2 linked regions of the Elephas maximus indicus genome follow. The protein of the gene in region 2 purifies or fractionates together with the protein of the main gene of each other region. This does not show direct contact. Links are inferred from orthologs where the notes say so. Each region holds a gene or a part of one and is shown on either strand. Other genes may lie near its edges.

What was found. The genes of interacting proteins can lie anywhere in the genome.
Region 1: the proteins of TAF9B (region 2) and USP22 purify together in Homo sapiens (affinity purification with mass spectrometry; 3 studies listed by BioGRID and IntAct, with this or other methods). This does not show direct contact. The link is inferred for Elephas maximus indicus from reciprocal best matches to the Homo sapiens genes TAF9B and USP22.

Annotation. Positions count from the first base shown.
Region 1 is NC_064820.1:215,908,464-215,915,426, forward strand, and holds the start of USP22 (ubiquitin carboxyl-terminal hydrolase 22), read right to left. Parts: upstream 3,002-6,963; 5' UTR 2,731-3,001; coding exon 2,593-2,730; intron 1-2,592. UniProt on the Homo sapiens protein: Deubiquitinase that plays a role in several cellular processes including transcriptional regulation, cell cycle progression or innate immunity.
Region 2 is NC_064846.1:89,599,976-89,607,086, reverse strand, and holds the start of TAF9B (transcription initiation factor TFIID subunit 9B), read right to left. Parts: upstream 3,010-7,111; 5' UTR 2,935-3,009; coding exon 2,893-2,934; intron 1,453-2,892; coding exon 1,336-1,452; intron 698-1,335; coding exon 616-697; intron 313-615; coding exon 176-312; intron 98-175; coding exon 1-97. UniProt on the Homo sapiens protein: Essential for cell viability. TAF9 and TAF9B are involved in transcriptional activation as well as repression of distinct but overlapping sets of genes. May have a role in gene regulation associated with apoptosis.

The sequences.
Region 1 (6,963 bases), on a different chromosome or scaffold from region 2:
ACTTTGATTCCATAAAAAGCTTAACCTGGGCAGAAAGTTATCAAATCTGACCACATTCTTCTCATTCCTTGTCTAACAAAAGAAGAATCAAAGTCTGGATACACAACCATAACTCACCTTGGATGAGAAAACTTTTAACTTCCAATCGTCCAGGAATTAATTTCTGTAGCTAACTTGTAGCTGTGTTCTTACTAAGATGTCAATCTCCAAAGGCAGCTCTGACTGCACAATTGTAACATAAATTCCATATTTTTTTAGGGAACATCGTATCTTTAGAAGCTAATGCACTGAGCCCACTGATCTGCTGAGAACCTCATCCAAACTGTCAAACATGGTTTATTCAACGTTAATCACCAAGGTTAAACTATTTCCCAAAGCAAGTCTTCCTTCATTGGGCCACTAGAGAGTGCTAGACATGCAGTTATACAGGAACTGAAGTGATCAAGAAAATGACTCCCAAAGATTCAGAGAGAATGGGAGGATACCAGTAAGAGTTCATGGCTGGTATTTTACCAAAAGGCACTGCGATAGTAACAGCCCTGAATTTTGAAAGAAACATGTATCATTACCTCTTTTACAGAGCTCAAGTTCTGACTAATGAATAATGTTAAGATGTGGTTCAGCAGCTTTCAAACCAAGCAGCTGAAAGGAAAAAGTAAAAGATTACTTTCAACATAGGAAAAAATTCTTTCCTTTAGGAAACAAGGCCAAGTTAATGATGGTTTCAGCTTGATTCCTTCAGTTTTGTTAAAAATGAGGAGAGGAAAAGAGCAGGAATTGCCTACTCAATGCCAAGTGGAAATCAATCTTACATGCTTAAGTCTTAATCAAGAAATTAGTTATACAGAGCTGCATCTTGGGAGAATAAGGTTACCACCTGTAGAAAGCCATTTCAATTCCCGCAATTCCATTAGCAAGTCATAATTTAATCGCTCCTGGACTCTCACACGGATCCCACTAGAAATCCACCTCACCTCAGATTTTTGTCCATGCTAAGAGGTAATGCTTCCCATTCCCTACAATATCAGTGAGACTGTTAGTTTTCCAATAAAAAATGCTATTCATGTGGAAATTGCCTAACAACTCCCAACGTCAGACTATATTCTGCAAAATCATCTTGTTAAATTGTCAAAGTCTATTCAGCTCAGAAGAAAGAATTTCTTATCTCCAAATCTTTAATGGCTTAATCACGGGAATGTACGTTATGTCTGAAAGGGCATAACACAATTTGTATTTCCTCAATGTCTCACAGAGGGGTCAGTTCCTTATCTTCGCACAAGGCATGCGACTCTAATTCCTGCTGCCTCACCTTTCCATCTAAGCTTTTCTTTTAAATGCACTCATTTAGCACAAGGGATTCTCCAAACCTCGATACAAATCAGCAGTCCCGGCTTCGCGGTGGCTCTACAGGGCGGCAAGGCTTGCTACATTTCTAACTGCCCACCCACTCCTCGCCGCCTCCACCCGCGTCCACGCCTGAATCAGGGGCGGGGAGGGTTGGTGGGAACGCCATCTGCCCATATTTGTTCCCGTAAAGCCCGCACCTGGTGCGGGGCTCTGCCCAAGGACCACAGTTGTAACCACGTCCTAATAGGCCCCGGTCGTAGCCATATGGCTCTTCAGTTTCCTTAGGCCAGACGGCCCGCCTCTGGACGTGAATGGACACTAGCATAAAGGGTACTTGAGAAGATGGCAGGAGCTGATCCACTGCAGGCTGCCGGAAAAGTCTCCGACACTGCTTCCCTTTATTGTCTTATTTTTTCTCAGTGCACCCTATTCCCACTCCCCAACACTCCCGCCCCTGTAGGGTTCCTCGTGTTGGAAAAACGGAGACCTTCTGCACAGACCCTGCAGGAGAAAGGCGCCTCTTCCCAGACTTGCGCTCCTCTCTCTCCACCGCTGGAATTGCACAAGCCCACCGAGACCCCGCCCTACCCTACCCCGCGCCCGAAGGGAGGGCAGGAGGAAGGTGAGGGGGAAAAGAAGGTGAGGGAAGGAGGGGAAAGGAGGAGGAGGGGGGAAAGGGGGGAAGAAAAGAGGTGGCCTGGTAGAGGGGGATGGGAGAAGAAGGGAAAGGGGGAGGGGGACGGGAGGGGAGGGAAGGTCAGGGAGGGTGGGGAGAGGGAGGAATGGGAGGGGGAGGAAAAGGAGGAAGGGAAAAGAGGAGGAAAGTGATGGGGGAGGGGGATCGGGGAGAGGAGGAAAAGGAGGGGGAAGGGGAGAAGGAAGGAGTGAAGAAGAGAAGGGAGGAGAGGAAGAGAGAGGAGAAAAAAGAGGGGAGGGGAGATGGGAGGGGGAAGGGGGAGTGGAGGAAAGTAAGGGTGGGGAAAAAGGGAAGGGAGAAAGTTATGAAGAGAACCTTCTGAGGAGAGAGAAGTATGAATGGTGGGGGAAGGATGGGGAAGGGGAGAACATGGAAGGCAGAGAAGAATGGGGGAGGGGGAAGAACGGAGGGAGGGCTGTCGCCCCTCCCCCTGCCGCCTGCGCGAATCTCCCCACGCGCCCCTCGCCCCCAGGGGGCTGGGAGCACCCGGCCACCCGCGAGGTGTGCAGCCCCCGCCCAGCTGAGGGTCTTCATTTGGGGTGTCCCACCTTGCGCTTGAGGGCCTCGGCGGTGCCGCTCCACACGAAGCACTGGTAGATGGCGCGCAGATTCTGCTTCCAGTTGTCCACCTTGAAGCTGCTCAAGTGCGAGCAGCCGGACGGCGCCACCGCCAGCTCGGCGTCCATGGCCTCGCCCTCCGCCTCGCTCCGGGAGGCCGTAGGGGGCAGGGCCCGGCCGCGCGCGGGCGGCGGCGGCGGCGACGAGGACGTGGACGACGCCAGGGCGGCGCGGGGACGAAGCTCGCAAGCGACCGCCGCGCTCCGGGTCTGCGGGACCTGGGCGGTGCCGGCGCGATTACTGCATCCCCCGCCGGCCGCACTGCGCAGGCGCCGCCCCGCCCCGCAGACCCCCGTCCCCGGCGCCCAGCGACCGCCGAGGCCTCCAGTGGTCAGGGCCGCGGGAGTGATGCTACCGAGGCCCCACCCCTGGGCCAGCTCCATTGGAAGCCGGGCCGCCACGTGGCCACGCCCACCACTGCCATTGGCTGCCATTGCAGTCCGTCTCTTTCAGAGCAGCGCCCAGTCCGCAGTGGCTCCGACTGTGCTGGTCTCCACCGATCGCCGGGGAGGTGGGGCATGCTGTGGATTGGGTGACGCGGGGTGTCTGTCAGGGCTCTGAACCGGTTTGCACCGGCCTGAGCTCTGCCGCAAAGAGGCGGAGCGACGGGCTGGGGGTGGTGCAAAGCCTGCAGTCTTGCAAACTGCTTCCTGCGTCTCTGAGAAATCCCTCGACCTGCTCTGCCTTCCCTGGGTCACGAGCAATGCCTTTGCCAATAGAAATTCCCTCCTTTGGGCTTTCTGCAGGGCTCTTCCATCTTTGCAGCCTATCCCACAGGCATCACAGCTCCGTAGCCATGAGTTAGAGCTGCCGGCTTCACCCGGTGTGTGGCACTGCCTCAAGGGAGCATACGGAGTCCCCTACACCAGGACCCCACCTTCAAGTGAGGGTCTCATCAACGCTGTCCAACAGAAATATGACGTGAGCCACATATCTAAAATTGTAAATTTCCTAGTAGCTGCATTTTAAAAAAGCAGGAGCTTTATTGACCATCGCCAAAAAGTGGCAACAGTTTAAAGGTCTGTCAGCAGATGAGCGAATAAACAAAACGTGACACACACGTACACAATGGAGTGTTATTCAATCGTAAAGAGAAATCAAGTTCTGATACATGCAACCACATGGATGAACCTTGAAAACATTATGCTGAGAGAAATAAGCCAGACATAAAAGGGCAATGTATAGATCCACATTTATGAAATAGTTAGAACAGGAAAATCCATCAGGACTAAAGAAGATTAGTGGTTTCCAGGGTCTAGGAGGAGAAGGGAAAAGGGGAGTTTAAAACAAACGAAAGAAACAGGCAAAATTAAATTTAATATATTTTATTTAATGCAGCATAGCCAAAATATTATTTCAACATGTAAACAGTATTTTTTCATTATTGATGAGATTTTTACATTTTTTTGCATGAATTTTTGGAAATTCTGTGTGTATTTTACACTTAGAGCACATCCAATTCATGCTAGCCACGTTTAAAGTGCCAGTGGCTACCACATTGGACAGTGTAAGTACAATCCAAATGAAACTTGCCGGTGAGTGGATTCTAACTCATAACGACCCTGTAGGACAGAGTAGACCTGCCCCGTAAGGTTTCCAAGGAGCTGCTAGTGGATTCAAACTAAGAACTTTTTTTTTTTTTTTTGGTTTTAAGAGCCTGAGCTCTTAACTCTTGCAGGACAAGGCTTCCCACCTTAGGACTGAGCCCTGCCTAAGTTCTTGCCTTCTACTGACCAAGAATGACCAGGAGAGGCTCAGAGGTTCCACATGAACAAAGGTTTATTGTGACAGAAAGAGCGTAAAGGCTCAGGAGTGGGGAACAGAGAGGAACCAGGAAACGCTAGCCTCTGTTACCCCAAACAAAGGTTTTGCTGGGGCTTATATGGGTTTGGCGAGGATAATAATGAATATTTAGCAGGTTTCTTTCAAGGGGCAGGTACTTCTCAGAATGGCAGTAGGTACTAAATTAGGTTGCATGGGCATCTGGAATCCAAGATGGAACTCACAGCAAAGGCTCCTGGGATTGGGTGGCAAAACTTATTACGGGGTGTCACGCCTACGCAGTCCCTCCCGTGGTGCTGGTTGGATTCCTGTCGCGGGTACTGGCATCAGGCAGAAGTCATCTGTGTGTCACCTTGCAGATATCCGCGCGTGCACCAGGCCCAGTTCCCCTGAAAAACATCTTACAAGGGAGTACTTTGTTTGTTCTTTCCTTATCACACATTCAAGGATTGGGGTTTTGCATCATTAGCCAAGCATATAATTTTTGTAAGTAAGTTGCAAGTTGCAGGGCTCCTTGACTAGGGGCTCAGTCGCTGTTTCTCCCCTATCTCATAACTCCTACGCCACAATCAGTACATAAGAAAACTGAACCAGGGCAGCCGGTAGAAAAAATTGTAAAGACAGTGCAAATGATGTCTTGGAGGAGTAAAGGCCCAATGGACCTGGGACAATATCTTGGATGAGGTGTGGTGCTACTTACCTATACTCATGGCATTGAGTTCTTTGGGAGATTAAAGAAAGCTGCCAGTTGCTCTCCAAGTATGCTACTGTGGAAGAGCTATCACAGTGAAAAAATAAAATAGTAACCTCTGGTATATAAAGCTGCAGGGTTTAATGGCTTGAGAACTGGAATAAAGCACTGTGGTTAGGACAAATTGCCAAGTACGCTTTTGCCCTATGTCTTAGTTTTCTAGTGCTGCTACAAAAGAAATACCACAAGTGGATGGCTTCAACAAAGACAAGTCTATTCTCTCACAGTCTAGTAGCGATTTAGGAAATAATATTGGAATCATTATTTCCTGTCCTTGAGCACAGAGAATGTGACCCAGCTGGAGCTGGGCCCACAAAGACTCACAAGGACACATCAGCTGGGCCCTGAGATAAAGAAAATAGATGGGACAATCTTGTAAATTATCTTTTAGGGAAGAAAAAAATCTCTTAGGGAACTTTTCACGTAAAGCCAACCAAACAGAACACAAAAGCCTTTCCACTCTTTTTCTGTTAGCATTTAATAATAATGTTAGCATATAGTGAATAAAAAATTTTTTGGACCCACGAAGACCCTCCTGACTGAAACCTGTACCAAAGACTGTTAAGAAAGACCATTCAAAATGTAGGATCACAGTTTCTAGCCAATCCATGAAAAGGTGAAGCTTTTAATGGTTTTGCCCACTTGTAATGTTAACATATACTGGTGACTCTGGAACTTTCCTTGGACAGGAGCAGACATGGCTGAGGCAGCATGCTTGTCTGTTTTTCCATTCTTGTTTATTCTGTAACATTTCCTTGGACTCAGGCAGACATGGCTCTGGCAACATGCTTGTCTGCTTCCCACTTTTGCCTTTTTTAATATATGCCGAATAAAACTTTCTTTTTGCTTTACTAAACTTTGTGATTTTTTTACCCTACGACAGTAGGCTAGACCTCTGAATTCAGGGCGTCAGCTCCAGGGGAAGGCCTTCTGTCTATTGGCTATGGAGGAAAGTCCCTGTCATCAATCTTCCCCTGGTCTTCTGAGCACAGGGACCTCAAGTCCAAAGGACGCAATCTGCCCCCATCGCTGCTTTCTTGGTGGTGTGAGGTCCCCATGTCTCTCTGCTCACTTCTTTTATATCCCAAAAGAACCCGGCTCAAGACACAATCCAATCCAGTAGATTGAGTCCTGCCTCATCAACACAACTGCCACCCATCCCCCCTCATTAACATCATAGAGGCAGGATTTACAACACATAGGAAAATCACAACAGATGACAAAATGGTGGACAAACACATAATACCAGGAATCATGGCCCAGCCAAATTGATACACGTATTTTTGGGGACACAATTCAATCCATGACACCCTAGAATCTTACACTTGCTGTGCCTTCTGCCTGGACTGCTCCCCACCCCACCCCACAGTCCTTGGCTGGTTCTCCCTAACCCTCCTCCCGGGCTTTATCAAACAACTACTCAATGAGGCCTTCCCCGCCATCCCATTGAAAATTTCAGTGTCCACCCACAAAACTCCGTATTCCCTTACGTGCTTTCGTTTTCTCCAAAGAAAGTATCACTATCTGACATAGTATACCCCTAGGTGGTACAAACGGTTAACATGCTTGGCTGCTAACATAGAGGTTACAAGTTTGAACGCACCCAAAGTCACCTCAGAAGAAAGGTCTGGCAACGATTTCCAAAAAAGCAGCCATTGAAAACCCTGTGGAGCACAGTTCTACTCTGACACACATGGGATCGCTGTGAGTCAGAATCCGTCCATCCCACTAGCATGAAAACTCAGTGAGGGTAATGATTTTTCTGTTT
Region 2 (7,111 bases):
TTAAGCAGTATCTGTCAGGTGGCAGTCTTGGTCCTGCATATGGCTTAATCAGTGGTAAAGGGGTTTGATTTTTCTGCCTTGCAATATCCAATAAAAACTAAAAAAAAAAAAAACTATTAGAACCACAATTTCAAAAATTATAAGTACAAATAACTTCGAATGAAAGTTTGCTCACATCTCTCGGAGGAGGAGAGGTAAAAGATTGGTCAGCACGACACTGGATTGCCAGTCTCACATCATCTGCATCAACATTAGGTTTTTTAGCATGGCTTGAATAAATTTTTGCATCATCCAGAATTGTAGTCACATATCCTTTAAGCATAAAATAGTTTTTCTTAGACACAGGAAAACAGCTTAATATTTATGACCACTTTTCTTAAAAGGTTCCACTAATTTCTAGAAAGTTTATGAATTCTGGTGTTAATACCTAACTGTACTATCTATATGATCAATTTTAAACAGATCTGAAAGTATAAATTCTACTGTCTCCTAGCTTGAGCTTATTTTTACTGCTTTAGACAGAATTCTATTACATTAACTTAAAATAATTTGGTTGAAAATATGGTCTCGCCAAATTCACAAGTTAGGCAAAGTTTTCGTGTTTTGTTAACTTACGGAAAGCAAATTCCAACATTTGATTTATAACCCTTGGTTCATAGTCTGTAATGCCCATATCCTTCAGGATTTGCGCCATCACCTGTGGATTCAAATAAAAACACCAGATGCATAATAAATAGGTACTGGAAATCAAGGCTGGACCGACGGTTGTATTTATTTTACCATACATGTCCCCTTACTCTGGGCTCCAAATTCTCACGCATCCTTTTCCTCCCAAACTAATGTCTTGATCACACCAAATCACATGGAGTTCTTTGCTGGAAACTTTTTTTTTGAGGGGGGGTCGGGGCGGGGGCAAAGAGGGAAAAAAAAAGGCCTGGCGTTGGCTTTCCCAGCAGAGCGGTGGGTACAGCTGGTTGTCATTTTCAGATGTGGCAAAGGGGGAAACTTAAGCACCAGAACCCCAGACGCAGAGAGTCAGGGCTCCCGGATCCCGCGAGGGGGATAAGGTAACAGGGGCCGAGGCCCTGGAGACAAAGCCTTGTGGGCGACCTGCGCGCACTCCGTGACAACTGCGACCCTCCCGCGGGGTTCGGCCAGTTCGGCGGGAGAGTGCTTCAGGGGCCAGGGCGCACCCCTATCTCCCATTCCTTCTAGACGTCTCGGCCGGGCTGATGCTGGCACGGGCGCCCGCCCTCCAGACCTCTGCCTGGGCCTGACTCCCAAGTTCTGGGCCGTGCTGAGCTTCGTACCCCGTATCTCATCCTTCGCACTCACCAAGGCATCTCTCGGAGCGTTCTTGGGAGTCGCCATCTTGCTCGACTCCATGCTATCCGAGCTGCCGTCATCCGGTGATAAAGGGCAGCTGGCGGTCTCCTCACCCAGGCTCCACCCCTGGGGGGTGCAGAAGGCGGGGTTACCGCGCCGGGACCGGCTGGCGGCCGTTTTACAACAGCTGATGGGGGGCGGCGGGGGACGCTCAGTAGAGGCTGCTGGAAGCCGGGCTGGGCGAGAGCCAGAGCTCCGGCACCTGAGAGACTAGGGGCCGCCCAGGAGGACTGAAACAGGCGAGTAAGCCTTCTCCGCTGGGCCCTCACTGCTCTCTTCTTGCTCGGGGCGTACCAGAGACAAGAAGCACATTTTTAATACATGTCCCAAATATTGCATGGGACATACCCCCCCCCCCCAAAAAACCAAACCCACTGCCGTCGAGTCGATTCCGACTCATAGTGACCTTATAGGACAGAGCAGAACTGCCCTATAGAGTTTCTAAGGAGCGCCTGGCGGATTCGAACTGCCCACCTCTTGGTTAGCAGCCGTAGCACTTAACCACTATGCCACCAGGGTTTCCGCATGGGACATACTTATACTAAAATATTATTTTTCTATTTGACATTCAAATTTAACTGAGCATCTTATTTGCTAAACTTGGCAACCCTATCCTATAGCCTGCTCTCCACAAAGCAGGACTTTGGTCAGCTCCTTTCACACTGAAAGCCCTACCACATGGTTCCACATGATGAATGTAATTAATGTCATTGAGTTAACCGTACATGTAAAAAATGTTCAAATGGCAAATGTTATGTTTTACCACACACACACACACACACACACACACACACACACACACACACACACACACACACACACACACACACACACACGCCCTACCACGGTTACCCGTTTCACACCAATGAAAAGCTAAAGCCTCTGATGGCCTGCAAGAGTCCCTACTGGAATTCCTCCACCCTTGTCCCTCTGAGGCCTACACAGGGCCCTCACTTGCCTCCAGATGGCCAAAAGTGTAGTGACCTTTGAAAATCATCTATCCAGACCGAGTGACTTGAAAAACGTGCATCAGTTAACCATCGCTCGGTTAAAAGTCTTCCAAAGAATTATTTATTATCCCGCCACGCCACACAATCCAAGGCGCTAGCGTTTTCCACCTTGGAAAAAGGCACCAGGAGTCACTCGTGCTGGAAACGGCAGTCCGCCATGTTACCGCTCTCTCCCTCACGATCCACGTTCAAGCTAGCAGCAGGGCTACCGCCCAAAGGTACACCAAATTTATCCCCAACTCTGCATCTCAATCCAGTGCTACTACCCTAATAGTCCAAAGCCAACAGCATTACTCACCCAGACTACAGAAATAAGCCTTAAAATAGAGCTAGTTCTACCCAGCCCCCTCCGTTCGTTGCACAACCAGAGGAATCTCTTAGTCATAAATCAAATCATTCTCTGGCTTAAAACCCTGTAATGGCTCCCTCATTGAGAATAAAATTCGTACCAATTTTCGGGCCTAGTGGGCCTTTCAGTTTTTGGGTGCCAGCTTACCTCATCCGGCTCCTCCGTAACGGCTGCCCGCCAGGCAGCCATCTTGAACTGTGGGCCCTTCTGCCGAGATGCACGTGTTTCGAACACGTTGATTCTGACGCGAAGACTGATTCTGGCACGTGGCAAGTGCCTTTAGCAGACTTTTAGCATGGCAAACATTTATGTAAAATAAATAATTTTCTAAAGAGGTAATATACGAACAGGGTGTGAAGTGAAAACAAATACATATATGTGTGTATATATATATATATATATATATATATAAAAGAAGAAACAAGGATAAGAAGCTTGAGATATGTATATATATAAAAAGAAGAAACAAGGATAAGAAAGCCTGTTCTCCGGCCACTCATTTCCCTTTCATAGAAGGGGCCACTAGTTAACCAGTTTCTTGTCTATGCAATTTACAAATATTACATGTTTATATTTTGTTCCCCTATCCAAATGGTAATATATTCTTGGGGCCCTGAAGCTAAACCCATTGTCAGATGACAGGATTCTGATTCATAGGGACCCTAAAGGACAGAGTGGAACTGCCCCATAAGGTTTCCAAGGCTGTAAATTTTTATGGACGGAGACTGCCACATCTTTATCCCATGGATCCAACCTCCATTGGTTTCAACTCCGGACATTATGGTTAGCAGCCCAGTGCTTTTAACTACTGTGGCCACCAGGGCTCCTCACTCTTGGGGTGACCAGCCTTTAAAGAGCCAGCCTGGGACACACCTGTACTAGATGAAAAAACCTATAACATATAATGAATAATTATACACGTATGTGCCATTAGTATAAAACAAAAAAATTATTTGAAGTGTGTTTTTCTGTGTTATTGAATTTTTTGCTTCATAAAAAAAGATGCTATTATTTAAGCAAAACAATAGAACTAGTTAACAGTGACAATTAGTAGTAATTAATTGTTGTTGTTAGGTGCTGTGGAGTCAGTTCTGACTCATAACGACCCTATAGGACAGAGCAGAACTGCCCCAAAGGGTTTCCAAGAAGTGAATGGTAGATTTGAACTGCTGGCCTTTCGGTCAGCAGCTGTAGCTTTTAACCACTGGGCCACCAGGGCTCATAGTAATTAATAGTAGGACTAATTAATATGTGTGAGAAAAATATAACAATTTTTTTTTTGGCCTTAACAAACAGAAATTTATTCTCTCACAATCTAGGATGCTAGAAGTTTAAATTCAGGGCACCAGCTCCAGGGGAAGGCATTCTCCATCTGTCAGTTCTGGGGGAAGGTCCTTGTCATCCATCTTCCCCTGGTCTAGGAGCTTCTTAGCGCAGGGATCCTGGGTCCAAAGGACACGCTCCACTCTTGGCTCTTCTTCCTTGGTGGTAATGAGGTCCCTCTCTTCTCTGCTCACTTCTCTCTTTTATATCTCAGAAGAGATTGACTCAAGATACAACCTAGTCCTGTAGACAGTGTTCTGCCTCATTAACATAACTGCCTCTAATCCTGCCTAATTAGCATCATAAAAAAATAATTTCATAGAGGTTAGGATTTACAACACATAGGATAAATGCATCAGATCACAAAATGGAGCACAGCCACACAATACTGGGCATCGCGGCTTAGCCATATGGACACACATTTTGGGGGGACACAATTCAATCCATAACAAGGAACATGCTTATTTTTTACACAGCCAAATGATGCCTCATTGGCAAGATGCTTCTTATGCTATTCCAAACATATTTCATACCAAAATTATTTAAATGCAAATGTTTTGTCTGTTCAGAATTATTTATAAAACAATGGTCATTTAAAGAAAATGTAGTACTTAATGTTTCCTGAAGTGTGGGAACATTATTTTTAGATTGATTATGTACCCTTCCTGTAGAAGTATGTTTTTTGTCTTTTCCTGTATACAAATTTGGCAGTTTCCTTTTCAAAGGGAATCAACTAGGGATAACAGTTTTTGAAAAGTTTACCAATTATATACTTAATATTGCATGTCAGATTTGACTAAGAATTTTTTATTACTTTGTAGCTTTTTTACATGAGCTAAAGAGAGAAAGGGCCAGGAAAGGAGAAATCATTTGTACATCTTGCATTTGTAAAAAGGGAGACTTTATGATGAAATTCTAAACCTTGTGATGACTACTCAAATGTTTAAAATTATGAATGATTAAGGAAGCACTTTTGTGGTTATCACTTAAAATTGATATGACCTAAAATACATTCTTAATAATAGCTTCCATTGGATATGGTGAATGTTTTACTCAGTGTTTAACTTATATTTGTACTCTAGGGTGTGTGTTTTTATAAAATTCATGCATTTATGGTAAAGTCGAGAGTGTTTATACTATGATACAGTTGTAAATAATTTTCTAAGAGGGCTTTAATATAGTCTGCAGTTGTCCTGAAATATTTTTTTATTAAACTTGTCTGACTACTGTTCTTCCCCCTAGATTGGTACAATGTAGTAGGTAAGAATTTATTCAAAGAACTATGCCAAATTGATGAGAAAAGTACAGCTATATATAGTGGTGATGCTGTAATAAAGTTGTTTTATCTTTTAAATAAAAGTGTTGGAGTTGATCCTTGTTGGGAAAAAAAAATATCTCTACATTGGGCTTTATTATGTCAGGCTTGTAGTAGGACCAGAAAGAAATTGTCCAAGATGGTGCCCAGCTGCCACCGACGACCGCCCTGACAGGGAACACAACAGAGAATCCCCGACGGAGCAGGAGAGCAGTGGGATGCAGACCTCAGATTCTCGCAAAAAGACCAGACTTATGGTCTGACTGAGACTAGAAGGACTCTGGAAATCATGGTCCCCAGACCTTCTGTTAGCCCAGGACTGGAACCATTCCCAAAGCCAGCTCTTCAGACAGGAATTGGACTGGACTATAAGATATAAAATGATACTGGTGGGGAGTGAGCTTCTTGGCTCAAGCAGACACATGAGACTACGTGGGCGGCTCCTGTCTAGAGGTGAGATGAGAAGGCCGAGGGGGACAGAAGCTGGCTGAATGGACACGGGGAATGCAGGGTGGAGAGAAGGAGTGTATTGTCTCATTAGGGGGAGAGCAACTAAGACCACATAGCAAAGCACATATAAATTTTTGTATGACAGACTGACTTGATTTGCAAACCTTCACTTAAAGCACAATAAAAATAAAAATTTTTAAAAAAAGGAAAGAAATTGTCCAGCTATCATAAAACAGAGACATCTTTTTAAGAGATTTTGTGTGCATTTTTTTTCAGAATTGAAGGATTTTTTTTTTATTAACTTTTATTGAGCTTCAAGTGAACGTCTACAAACCAAGTCAGATTGTCACACACAAGCCTGTATACACCTTACTCCGCTCTCCCACTTGCTCTCCCCCTAATGAGTCAGCCCTTCCAGTCTCTCCTTTCGTGACAATTTTGCCAGCTTCCAACTCTCTCTATCCTCCCATACCCCCTCCAGACAGGAGATGCCAACACAGTCTCCAGTGTCCACCTGATATCATTAGCTCACTCTTCATCAGCATCTCTCTCCTACCCACTGTCCAGTCCCTTTCATGTCTGCTGAGCTGTCTTCGGGAATGGCTCCTGTCCTGTGCCAACAGAAGGCCTGGGGACCATGAACGCTGGGATTCCTCTAGTCTCAGTCAGAGCATTAAGTATGGTCTTTTTATGAGAATTTGGGGTCTGCATCCCACTGATCTCCTGCTCCCTCAGGGGTTCTCTATTGTGTTCCCTGTCAGGGCAGTCATCGATTGTGGCCGGGCACCAACTAGTTCTTCTGGTCTCAGGATGATGTAGGTCTCTGGATCATGTGGCCCTTTCTGTCTCTTGGGCTGTTAGTTGTCGTGTGACCTTGGTGTTCTTCATTCTCTTTTGCTCCAGGTGGGTTGAGACCAATTGATGCATCTTAGATGGCCGCTTGTTAGCATTTAAGACGCCAGACACCACATTTCAAAGTGGGATGCAGAATGTTTTCATAATAGAATTATTTTGCCAATTGACTTAGAAGTCCCCTTAAACCATGGTTCCCACACCCCTGCTCTTGCTCCGCTGACCTTTGAAGCATTCATTTTATCCTGGAAACTTCTTTGCTTTTGGTCCAGTCCAATTGGGCTGACCTTCCATGTATTGAGTGTTGTCCTTCCCTTCACCTAAAGCTGTTCTTATCTACTAATTAATCAGTAAAAAATCCTCTCCCACCCTCCCTCCCTCCCCCCCTCGTAACCACAAAAGTATGTGTTCTGCTCAGTTTATACT